Linked DNA regions of Coturnix japonica. The protein of the gene in region 3 interacts with the protein of the main gene of each other region in a pairwise test. Links are inferred from orthologs where the notes say so. Each region holds a gene or a part of one and is shown on either strand. Other genes may lie near its edges. The genes, in order: LARP1B, FAM13C and KIF2A.

Evidence for each region.
Region 1: the proteins of KIF2A (region 3) and LARP1B interact in binary tests that used the Homo sapiens proteins (3 or more experiments, as listed by UniProt). The two-hybrid records come from large-scale screens. The link is inferred for Coturnix japonica from reciprocal best matches to the Homo sapiens genes KIF2A and LARP1B.
Region 2: the proteins of KIF2A (region 3) and FAM13C interact in binary tests that used the Homo sapiens proteins (3 or more experiments, as listed by UniProt). The two-hybrid records come from large-scale screens. The link is inferred for Coturnix japonica from reciprocal best matches to the Homo sapiens genes KIF2A and FAM13C.

Annotation. Positions count from the first base shown.
Region 1 is NC_029519.1:30,352,849-30,357,111, forward strand, and holds the start of LARP1B (la-related protein 1B), read left to right. Parts: upstream 1-1,453; 5' UTR 1,454-2,059; coding exon 2,060-2,333; intron 2,334-4,263.
Region 2 is NC_029521.1:52,949-57,124, reverse strand, and holds the start of FAM13C (protein FAM13C), read right to left. Parts: upstream 2,852-4,176; 5' UTR 2,755-2,851; coding exon 2,693-2,754; intron 1-2,692.
Region 3 is NC_029547.1:20,755,615-20,758,653, forward strand, and holds the end of KIF2A (kinesin-like protein KIF2A), read left to right. Parts: intron 1-175; coding exon 176-311; intron 312-659; coding exon 660-745; 3' UTR 746-2,463; downstream 2,464-3,039. UniProt on the Homo sapiens protein: Plus end-directed microtubule-dependent motor required for normal brain development. May regulate microtubule dynamics during axonal growth. Required for normal progression through mitosis. Required for normal congress of chromosomes at the metaphase plate.

The DNA.
Region 1 (4,263 bases), on a different chromosome or scaffold from region 3:
GAACCAAGACACAATCGTGTTGCAGTGTTCAGCTACGCTGGCTAAAAAGTGAAGGCTCCTGTAACACCTCAGCATGCTAAGATTGACAAAATGTCAGGGGGACAGATGGAGTGGGAAATAGGCTTTGCAGGTGGAAGGAAAAGCTCTGAAATGTGTCTAATCAGTGTCAAATGGAGCCTTCTGTAATTTTTCTTCTGAAGTCCAAAGAGCATGCCCTGAAAAGTGACCATTCAGCTTGTGTTGTAGTAAGGATAAATCATTTGTGTTGTGTTACTCGTGTAAGTCAACAACACCCTTAAGTGGCAAAAAGACACCTTGGCTCCAAAAATTGGAGCCTAGTCTTACTAGAATGCTATCTAAATGGATTCTCTTTAAATAGTAGGTTTTATAATAAAGTGAAGATTCTTAGCGTGGTATTTTTGCTTGGGAATCACTAACATTTGGGGCCTCTGCATGTTTTTATTAATATGTTTAATTTGTCTTGTGTCAGTTATATATGTATATATATATTTTTATATACATGTTGATTGTAATTACAGTTGGTGGGGCAGAGAGCTTTCTTTATCTTAAGTTGTCAGGTTCTGTGTCAGCTTGGCTGTAATGATAAGTTACACAGTGTTGAAGGAAAGTTTGTATATAATGTCATGCAGGCATGCCATTCCCCATGCAAAACCATGACATGAGTAAAATGCTATTCTGTAATGCTACCACATTACTGCTCCCTGGCCCAGCTTTCCTCCTCCTCTTAACCGGCTTAATGCTTTTCCCTGGTCTTCAGGTGCCAGTACTGCAGTGTTCCTAATGTCCTGGCTGCCCTACAGACCTGCTGTCTTCTCCCTAGAACAAGGAAAAGGAAGAGGGAGGGTAATGCTGTTCTACCAGTGATTAGGTAGGGCTCTGTGTTTTCCTATTGCTCTTCACTGTGTCTGCATAGCCTCTGAGTTTAGGACAACAAATGAAATAACTGCAAAGTGTTCTGAGCTGACAGTATGGGAAATACTCCTCAGGAGTAAACGTATGCAGATAACGCCCTTATTCACTAGCAACACTTGCCTGTATTTCAATGAATTTCTCACTGTGATGTGTTACTGGTGTGTCCTTGACATGTGAATGTTGTGCACCTGAAGAAGCCGAGTTCTTACTTGCTAAGGAAAATGCTTCTAGGTGTTTGAAAATTTGCTGCCACTTTAATTGCACTTTTTTCTTACTATCAGTTAAAAATGAAGAAGAACGAAGCATCACTTGAACAGAAGGTGCTTCAGAGGCATCTGTAAATGTATTTCAAGGAAAGGTCTCCTTTATTTCCAATGTTTTCAGCTTAAATTTGCAGTGCCAGCAATGCATGCTAAGTTTGGCACAGGGTTTGTCACCACATAACCTCAGTAGAGCAGCGGTGTCTCAAGTGAAAGGTATTCCTGCCGAGGTAAAACTCTTGAAATGTGGTTATTTGTAACGTTACTTTCACAAACACTTAACTAGCTCCTACAGGGGCTGTTTGCAGACCTTCGTCGTGCTGTACAACACGTGGGAAAGGCCTATAATAAACCCCAACGTGCCCCACCCGCTTCGCTGGAGAGCTGACCCCGGTGCCAGGTGGGTGCCGCCGCCTCTCAGGGCCCGCGCCTCGCGCTCTGCCCGGTGCCGTAGCTCATCCGCCCGCCTGACCAGCCGCTTCCAAGCGGAGCCGACAGGCGCGTCCCACGTTACGCGGTTCTCAGCGCGGTTGCTAAGCGGGCCCCGTCCCCGCGTTAAAGGAATCCCGCCCGGCCTCCTTTCGTCCCGTTGCGCGCGCCCCCCACGGAGCCCGGGGCGCGGCCCTTGTGAGCTCACCGCGCCGCCGGGGTGGCCGCCGCCCTCCGAGCCGGCGGCTGGCAGCGAGCGGCCTCTTCGCTCCTCCCTCCTGCCCCCGCCGCGGTCGCCGGCGGAGGGGCCGCCGGAGCTGACAGGGGAGCCCCGGGAGACGGGGCGGAGCGGCGGCGGCCGGAGGAGGAGAGACGGCCGCCCCGCCTCGGCGCCCGTCCCCCTTCCCCCGAGGGCCGCTCGCGGCGGCCGGCAGGGCATGTCCGCCGCGCAGGTGTCCGCCGCGCCCGCCGAGCGCCCGGCCTGGGGCGCCGAGGGCCGGGACGGGCCGACGGAAGGGGCCCGGCGGAGAGAGCCCGCTTCTACCGGCGGGAAGGAGGCCTCGGAAAGCGGCGGCCGGCGAGAGCCCGAGCCCGAGGAGCGGCGACGGCAGGCGGCGGCCGAAGCCCCTCCGCCCAAGGAGAACCCGTGGACGAAGCGCAGAGCCGCGAGGGACGACGCGGCCGACGGGCAGCTCGTGCTGCGGGAGCCAGGTGCGGGGCGAGCCGCAGGGCCGGGCGGGCGGGGAGCTGGCGGGGTGCTGGCCGGCGCCGTGCGTCGCTTTCGGTTCTGCGGAAACACCGCGTGTGCCGGGGACGGCGCGTCCGTCCCCTCCTCCCCCGGCTCCGCTTTCCGCAGCGCTGCACGCGGCCGGCCCCGACAGCCCGTGCTTCTACATACATGGGCAGGGCGGCGGCGGGCGCTGCAGGCCCGGCACCGCGAGCGGAACGCTGAGCAGACCGTGCGGTGCTCTGACATGTAGGAGCTCTGCTGAATCCCCGCTGCTTTCCTGTTGCTCGGCTCTTTGTTTCTGTTTTGCTTTGGTTAGTTGGTTTTTGTTTTTTTTTTTTTTCTTTGTTGTTTTTTACCTGTTTATATAATTTCCCCGTTCAGTTCACTCCCGAGTTTTGCTTTTTAGGGCTCGTGAAGGCCTTAGTGTTAACAGCTGTAGTTCACTCACTCGTGCTGATGGTCAGTTCAGGCTGCTTCTGTGGGAAGAGATGGAGCGAGGGCAGCTTGATGCAATTTGCTGGTCTTTAATTACCACAAATGCAGAATAAAGGTGTGTGAGAGCTCCATACGGACTGCAGACCCGGCTGAAATAGCCCGGCGTTTGCCTTGGGCCCCTGAGAAGTTCCTCGAAGTCAGCACTTCTCGGAGTGCTGCTGTCGGCTGGAAGCAGCTGCCAGCCCCACATAACATGCCTGGTGTGTGCTCCCCGTGCTCTGTGCCGTGCTCCCGAGGGTTCCTGACAGCCCCGCTTGTGTTCTCATGGTCACTTTTATCCTGGAATTAATTGAGTGCCTCCCTCACCAAGAGAAATATACCCCTTGACACTTCCAAGCATGCGTATCGTGCAGGCAGACAGAAATGCTCTCCAGACCGCAGAACCTTTATTTAACTGAAGATGAAACCTTTTGGCAGCACGTGTGTCCATCTGTACCATCGGGCCTTGCTGTCTGTGTGTACTGACGCACTCGTAAATGCCGACTTAGCGTGGCTCCTGTAGCCCGGTGCTGTGCTGCAGTCCTGCCCGTGCATGACAGGGAGCTCGTCACCTGCCCGGGCTGCTGGGACAGTCCCAATAATAGTACAGTGGGAGCTGCTTTGGTGCACTATTGCCTTGTGGGCCTAGTGGGGGCCTGTGCTGGAAATGCTGCTCTTTGCTGAGGTTTTGCTTCCCACTTAAGTCAAAACACAAAAATAGTTGTTGGGGGAAGAGAGAATGGAAGCGTGGAGTCCATGCACCACATATGTTATGTGCACAGTGTGATTATTTCAGAGAGCTTTAAACTGTTATTCATCTGTACAGAAGTTATTGTTTATTAAATGACTGCCTAACTGTGCTGTTGCACTGGAGTAACTATTGCAGTGACAAGTGCAGAATTCAGCAAGTAGAGGAGCTGCTGGTGACAGTGGTACCAGTAAAAGGCATGTGAGGAGGGATGTGCTGTGGGGTGGCTGCCACGGGGAACTTTGGGGTGAGTCACTGCTTACTGCTTGTGGAGCATGGAGTGGCTGATCCAGCGGGGCTGAGAGAGGGAGTGACTGCGTGTGTGTGTGTGTGCCCCCATCTGCAGGAGATGTGTTCTGAGGAACCGAACTGACAAAGCAGTGTCAGCCGCGCCAGGCCCTTATAAGTGTGGTAGTATGGAAACTACGCATGTGAAATAGTAAGTAGGTGGGCAGATGCGCTGCTGGGATGGAATGTAAAACCGTCCATGCAGGGGATAATAAAACTGAAAAGAATCTCGCATCAAAGTAGCAGCTGAATCCTGTTCAACTCGTTGATCTTGGCCTAATTTGCTGAAAGTTTCCTGACACAAGCATGTGTGGCGGCGTGCTCAGTGATAGTTACACGCGGAGAAAGCTGCTTCCAGGCAGTCACCTCTGGCCATCCATGTGCTGTGGTGTTACTCATCT
Region 2 (4,176 bases), on a different chromosome or scaffold from region 3:
GCTGCAGAAATTATTTAAAGGGACACTCAAGTGTTCACACTTCCTGAATAAATCAGCATTTGGATGAAAGCATTTGCTGCATGCAACTGGAAAATATACCTACAGTTGCCTGATCCACCTTATCACATAACATTCCTGCAGTGGGTGCAGTTGTGCTCTTCCCTCTGAGAGGATGGTGGGCAACTGAATGCAGCCAAGTTTGTGCGTGCGTATTTGTGTGAGTACTCCTAAAATTGGACAAGTAAGCCGAGGATCACCTGCTCTCAGCTGGCTGTAGTAAAGGTGAGCTGAAGAAGCAGGAAGCCTAAGTAAGCATCTAGTACCTGATTACAGTCATAAATGAAGACAAGTTACAAATATTCCAACTGAACTTGACAAAATGTATTTGACTAACTAGATACCAGTAGATAGAAAGGATTAGCACAAATGAATCAGAGAAGACAGTGGCCATCATGCGTTGAAAAAGACTGTGAGGAAGTTCAGCAGCACCAAGACTGAAAGGGTGAATAGTTTTCCTTATCAGCAAGGATAAATATTAACTGAGAAAACTCACTCACATAAGACACTGCTTAAAGCCTAGACCATCATAGGATCCCAATCCACACAGACTTTACTCTGCCTCTCTAGCAATGCCTCTGTATTCCAGAGGTAGTTTAGTGGGAACATCTTTTTAATTTTTTTCCATTTTCACCTTTCAATAACAACCATTTCACTACAGCTGGAAAACTGCTTCCTTTTGCAGACTTGACCTTTAAGATGTTCACGTGAACAACTTCTCCACCAGGCTGCATGCATGGCTTCCTGGGAACACAGCAGCCCCAGGCACTTGCCTTATCTGGAGATATGTTCCTGAAAGTATTGTTTCACTGGTTTTACATCGTTCAGAGAAGTCAAATGGGGATGACTACCATTGCATGGCAAACTCTCTGTTTCTGCTAAATAGAAGAAACCTATTTTCAGATATGGTCAGAGCACAAACAATTCGTGCTGAAATCTGCAGTAATTGTGTGTCCTCACAAACAGGCTTTGGGGGCAGGCTTTAAACAAGATCTAGGGAAATCAACACTGGAAACCAAGTCAGACAATGCTTTTTGAATGATGTTGTCTGTCTGCTTTGTTTTCTAAAAGCCAGTTTCTACTTCCATGTTTGGTAAGATAAGATTATGAATTAAAGGCCCTGGAACAACACCAACAACAGCTTAAATGAAGAGATTCAGCCTTCAGACGACAGCCCAGCTCTGCCACGCAGCTGCCTCTCTGCTCCACACAGCACTGTCTGCGCCCATCTCCCCTCCCTTTCCCCAGGGATGCCACTTAGCCTTTCTTCCCTTGTCTTAATGATCACACAAAGCTGCAATGAGCAAAACCATCACATCCACATCCCAGAAAACCTCAAGGGTGAGGGAGGCAGCACCAGGCCAAGACAGGGGAATCTCTGTGTGAAACAGAGATGGATGTCAGGGGACAGAGCAAAGGAAGAGAGACAAAAAAGGAAATATATATATATATATACTTCCTGAAATCTGGCTATTCATTTATGAATTTTACATACCACAGCACAACACTTAAATAACAGGGACACATGAAAACAATTCAGAATGATGTGATGATTTATTATCTCCCATTATATCTTTCCATATTTACCACAATCACACAGAAAGAACAAGTAACTTAAAATATCAAAGAAAGCAAGGCAAAGAATGTAGGAGGGAAAATTTATTTAAACCCCCTCAAGAAATGTTGCTTACCTTCTCCTTTAGTGATTTTGACAACACTGAGTGATAGCGCAGACTAAATTACAACTTGGCCTGCTTTCAGAATGCATCCCCATAACACTTAAGCAAACAGATCACAGTCCAGCCAGGGTTTTTTAAATTATGAGCATTTTAGCAGTGTAAAACTCATCTAATGTACAAGCAAATCTATAAATCACTTCCTTCCTAAGATACTGCTTGGTGCATTACTGCCAAAGAGTCTTCCCTAAAAGGTTTTGAAACAATCAAAAGCATGCAAAATAACACAGAGAATATCTAAATCGAAGCATTTTATACTGGAATAAAAAAATGATTATTTTATTTATAATCCTCCCTAAAGACATTGCCTTTGTAACTTTCTAATGTCCTCACCCTCTTCTGTTGTCTCTTTATGACAACAACAAAATCAATGAATATGTCCTTATGATCACAATAAAGATGAAAACCTTCTCAATGAGTTTATGGAAATAATTACAAAGAACAATGTGTTTGGTGCCTGCTCTGTCTAAATGATGTTTCTGTGTTTGTTGTCTTTTTTTCCCCAAAAAATATTTTTAAAGAATTGTTTTTCCTAACGCATGCAGGAAATGCAGGGCATGCGTTCTGACATGCTTGTGTTTGTCGAGATCATCAGTACCAGAAATGAGCAATACAATCACTGGAGATTTATCCTACACTGAAATCATGCACTTAAACATTTGTGAGGTATATCAAATTTATATCCTCCCAGAAAAGTACTTTGTTGCCAAATGGTCTCACAAAATGTAAAGGCGTCTGTTTTATGCAATTCTTTTCAGAGTCTCAATAATATACTGAGATTAAGATTAACCTGAATCAAAATACATGACAGAAAGCTTGGGACCTCTCACACAGTACTTGCAATTATTTTCTACCACTCTTATTTAAAAATAAGGCACATCTTTAAAGTGTTGACTTACTCTGCTAAAGCTGTGGTGTTGAAGGAATTATCCTGAATGCTGAAACAGAAACAAGAAAACATCAGACAAGTCAGCAAGGCAGGCAGGCTCCCTGTTTCCTTCTCAGTTGTAGAAACACATGCACAAACATGGCATTGCAAGGCAAGTCTGTGTGTGTTAGCTCTACATGCGCGACTGTACCTTCGGCTGCTCTGCACATGCTCATAATCAAGGAACCACGGGGATTAGCCCTACAACACTTACAAAGCCCATCCAGCAGTGCTTTGAATAAATATGAGGATGCAGGTAGCCTGTGAGGCTCAGAGAAGGATCATATTCTGTTACAACAGTAACGCTGCCACTAATAAAAGCTGTAGGTTTACAAACAAGTATTTGGCATTCTGCTCTTTAAATGATTGCAATTGGCTAATCAAACACAATGTTATTTTTATTTACTTAAATAGGATTGTTAAAATATCTGGAGGTCTTTTTCTTCTCATTTAGAAGTCTTTTATACACTCAGCTCATGGTCAGATCCCAAGGGAAGCAACGCAAAAATAATCTGGGAGAAAGAGCAGTTCAAGTAGCAAAAGGTTATTGAGCAAACAGCAAGGAATAGATGAAACCATTCCTAAGAAAGGAATAGGCTGCTGCCCTTTTGCAGCAACATTTTTCAGACTTGATGTAATATGTTCAGGAAGGGTCAGCTCAGGATACAGCAAACGGTTGGTTTTGAGGCAGCGATGGAATTCCCCCTTAAGCAACACCTCTCAAATCCAGTTGGAACATTCTGAAATGTTAGCAGCAGAAAACAAACAAAATCCATTCTCACTGAGACATATTAGGGCAGGGAGGAGGAGGAGAAGGTAATACAGGGAGCTGCGTCTTACAAGCACTCCTATTTGTGACAACGGCACCACACAAAACCCAGCAGCACATGGAGCAGGGACAGAGAGGCACAGCATCCCTTCCCCACAGAAGCAGCAGCCAGGGCCACAGAAGTGACAATTTCCCTTCTCTCCCGAACAGTGCTGGCAATGTGCCTTATCTTCCCAGCCTCTCTACCTGCTTGCACACAGTGTTTGCTCTTTTCTATATTTGTATATACAGCAATTTATTTCATGGCACAAATTATCAGGAAATCTGTCCATAGGGACTTCAGCCCTACAAAAAAAAAAAAAAACAGGTTTTGTGAGAGGAGGTGAATAGAAAAAAAGAAGGAGGAATCACAGCTTTTAATCACAACATCACATTCACAAGCATCACACAGTGATTAGGGTAGATCTTAAAGAGACACTACATATTTATTCCCATTCCCCTTCCTACATACACACACACACACACAAGGAGGAGATGGAAAATAGAATGATCTTGTGAACATAATTTCTTCATTTCTACTTGTTAAGGTGAAATTCTCTGCTAATTCACCCCCTGTACAAACATACTGCAGTGTCTTGTTACTACCATTAACACAACATGACTGAAGACCAGTTTGTGAAACAGAG
Region 3 (3,039 bases):
ACTGAAAATATGGATTCTTTTTAAAACTTTCAGAGTGAGATAATTAAGAGGTAGGAAATACAGTCATCTTGAGTATATGTAGTAAGTAGTCTCTTTGTCTTACAGTCTGTACCCTTGCTAATTTTTTTTGTTTGTTTTGTTATCTTGGTGGATTTTTTTTATAACTGTTACCTAGGAATCTATTAGATGGCTGGAAGATGAAAAATCACTTCTTGAGATGACAGAAGAAGTAGACTATGACGTGGATTCTTATGCTACCCAACTTGAAGCAATTCTGGATCAAAAGATTGATGTTCTGACTGAACTTAGAGGTAGAATGCTTTTAATCACTTTCGCGTTTATTAGCAATGTGTAGTGTGGGCTTTTATTTTGGGAGATTTTTCCTCTTGCACTGTCATGTAGTGTAGAAGAAATGATTGTTCTGCTGCTTAGGAAAAAGTTCACATCTATATTCCATTCATTCTAGTTTGAAAGACAAATCTCTGCTGCGCCTCCAGCAACTTGTTTCTGCAACTTCATTTCCTTTTCCTTTATTCCAAAATGTTTAAGGGAAGAATAAGAAAATGCAAAGGAAATGTTTAAAAAAAAAAAAAAAAATAGTTTCAGGATCTGTGTTGGGCAAAGACATATTGGACCTCGTTCTTTCTTTTTCATTATAGACAAAGTGAAATCTTTCCGAGCAGCTCTCCAAGAGGAGGAACAGGCCAGTAAACAGATCAACCCAAAAAGACCGCGTGCCGTTTGAAAGGGGCCTTTGCTGCTAAAGGAATCCATGAACCCATACTGCTGTAGCACACATTTGTTACAAAACCCAGTGGCCCTAAGAACTCAACTACTTGAAAGTGTAAAAACATTAGAAATGTTTGTGGAAATGTCCTGTTTCTTATTCGCCTGAGTGACATTTTCGATTTTGTGTGAAATGCTCCTATGATGTCTACAAAATGCTTCTAGACCAGACAGCACAACCATGCAGGGTTTAGATCTGTGAAGCACTTTGTTTAAAATATTTCATTTATTCAAATTGTGAATTTTATGTTTTGAAATACTTGCCATGTTTTTAACAATGAAGTAAAACTGTGGCTATTAAAGAATCACAGTATTTCCATATAACTATGTTCAGTTTTGTTACAGAGATCAGCTGTGCAGTTTTAATTGTGTTTGCTTGCATGCTCACCTCACTAGTGGTTGTACGTAACTTCTCTTCTACAGATAGCTGTGCTTACCACTTCCTGTTCTGTGCCTTGATGAAGGCTACTTAACCCTGAATATCCTCCTTCTGAAGCACAGCCTTAAGCAACATTCCTAATTTTGTCAGTATAAATTACTTTCAGCGTATGTACATTTTTAATGTCTTTTGAAACTTTTTTTTGGTGAGTAGTTCATTCATTTCACAGAATGTGCCATATCATTTGAACAGGAACTGCAAGAGCTGTTAGAGTGGACAAACAGCTGGACATTCCATCCTCCTTGTAAAAATATGGATTCTAGATTTATTTGAGAATCATAAAGAATCGTTATATAACGCTTTTCTCAGTTAAAAAAGAAAAAAGAAAAAAACAAAACAATAAACTAGTTGATGTATAATAAAGGGTAATGTCTAAGTTCTGAGGAGAGTTGTATCTTAGGATAATGCAGATATGCAGCATGTGGTATGGTGTGATAATGCTGTCAGAATAAAGGTACAATCTGACCTCTGTGTATGGCTAGGATAACTGTCAAAGTTTGGGGATCTAGCTAAATAAATACTTTTTGGGGATCTAGCTAAATATACTGGCCTTTCACATACTGTTAAATTGGCTTTTGATGCATGACAGACTTACATGTACATTAACTGTAGTTTGCAGGTAGTTTGAGTAGCTCTGTTGCTTTAAAAATAGTAGCTAATACCTATTTTTCCCTTTGCAGTGCCAGCAGCTGAAAAGTGGTGTGAAATTGCATCATTTAAGGATTTGCACAATACCTCTACCTAGTGTTAGCAGGAATTCCGCGAGTAACTAAATTCTGACAAATGGCGCCATGTATATCAGCACTTCTTAGGTGGTGGCACTCAAGTTACTTTTGTGTATCCAAAAGAGATTGACCTTTCATGTAAGAACTTGTCATCAAAGGAAGAGTTGTAGACCTCTCTAGGAGTTCTCCCTGTTTCCTGGAGTTTCTATCAGCAGACTGGGAACTGCTGAAATATTACTCTTGGAATACAAGCCTGTTTGCTTATATAAGGCCTAGAGGGTAATAAAGGGAACGCAATAAAGAGAGAGTTAAATGAGCCAGGAATTCTTGTAGTGTTTAATGTTTGTATCTCCCATAGGAAGGTAGGCTATGGGAATCTCCTGTCGCATCATGGTTAAAAGAATAAAAAAAATTCCTCCTGTGTGTTAACATGAAAACTGAAAAAAAAAAAAAAAAAAAATGTAGATTTTACATAATGTGTTTAATAAATTAAGCTATTAAATGAACTACAAATGAGAATTCTATTAAAGTTCTGTTCTGTTTTGGGGAGGGCGGCACTTGGTTAAACATGTGGATTGATGCACTTTTGATAAGGCCAATGATTTTGAATGGATTTTAAGTTGTAGAAAGTAACTTTCTGTGCAAATCTGTAACATGTGAAGAAGAGCCTAGAGCAGCATCACAACTTGCATCTTGCAGTAGGCCTTAAAGATGTATTACACGTGCTTTGAGAATTTAGTCAAGAGCGTCATTCATCGCAGTTAAAAGAACAGTGGAAAAAAATAAGGCGGGTAGCTTTTGTTAACGGGTGGCAGTACAGGTTACTGCAGGTATGTCCAACCTGTGGCCTAGCTCCTCCCCAGTGCTACTGTGGCAGCAGCTCTGCCCTGCCAAGCAGCACCATCTCCCACAACAACCAAACAGTGGTGCGCAGTCAGCAGCGTCTGGGCTGAACCCGGGGCTTGGGGTTTAGTGCAATGTTAACTAAAGTTACAGCAAGTAATGTGCATTTTATATGTTGGCTGAATGTAATCCTATCAGCAGCAAAAAATAAGTAGCCGTGCTTTCTGTTTTGACAAAGGAATTTGA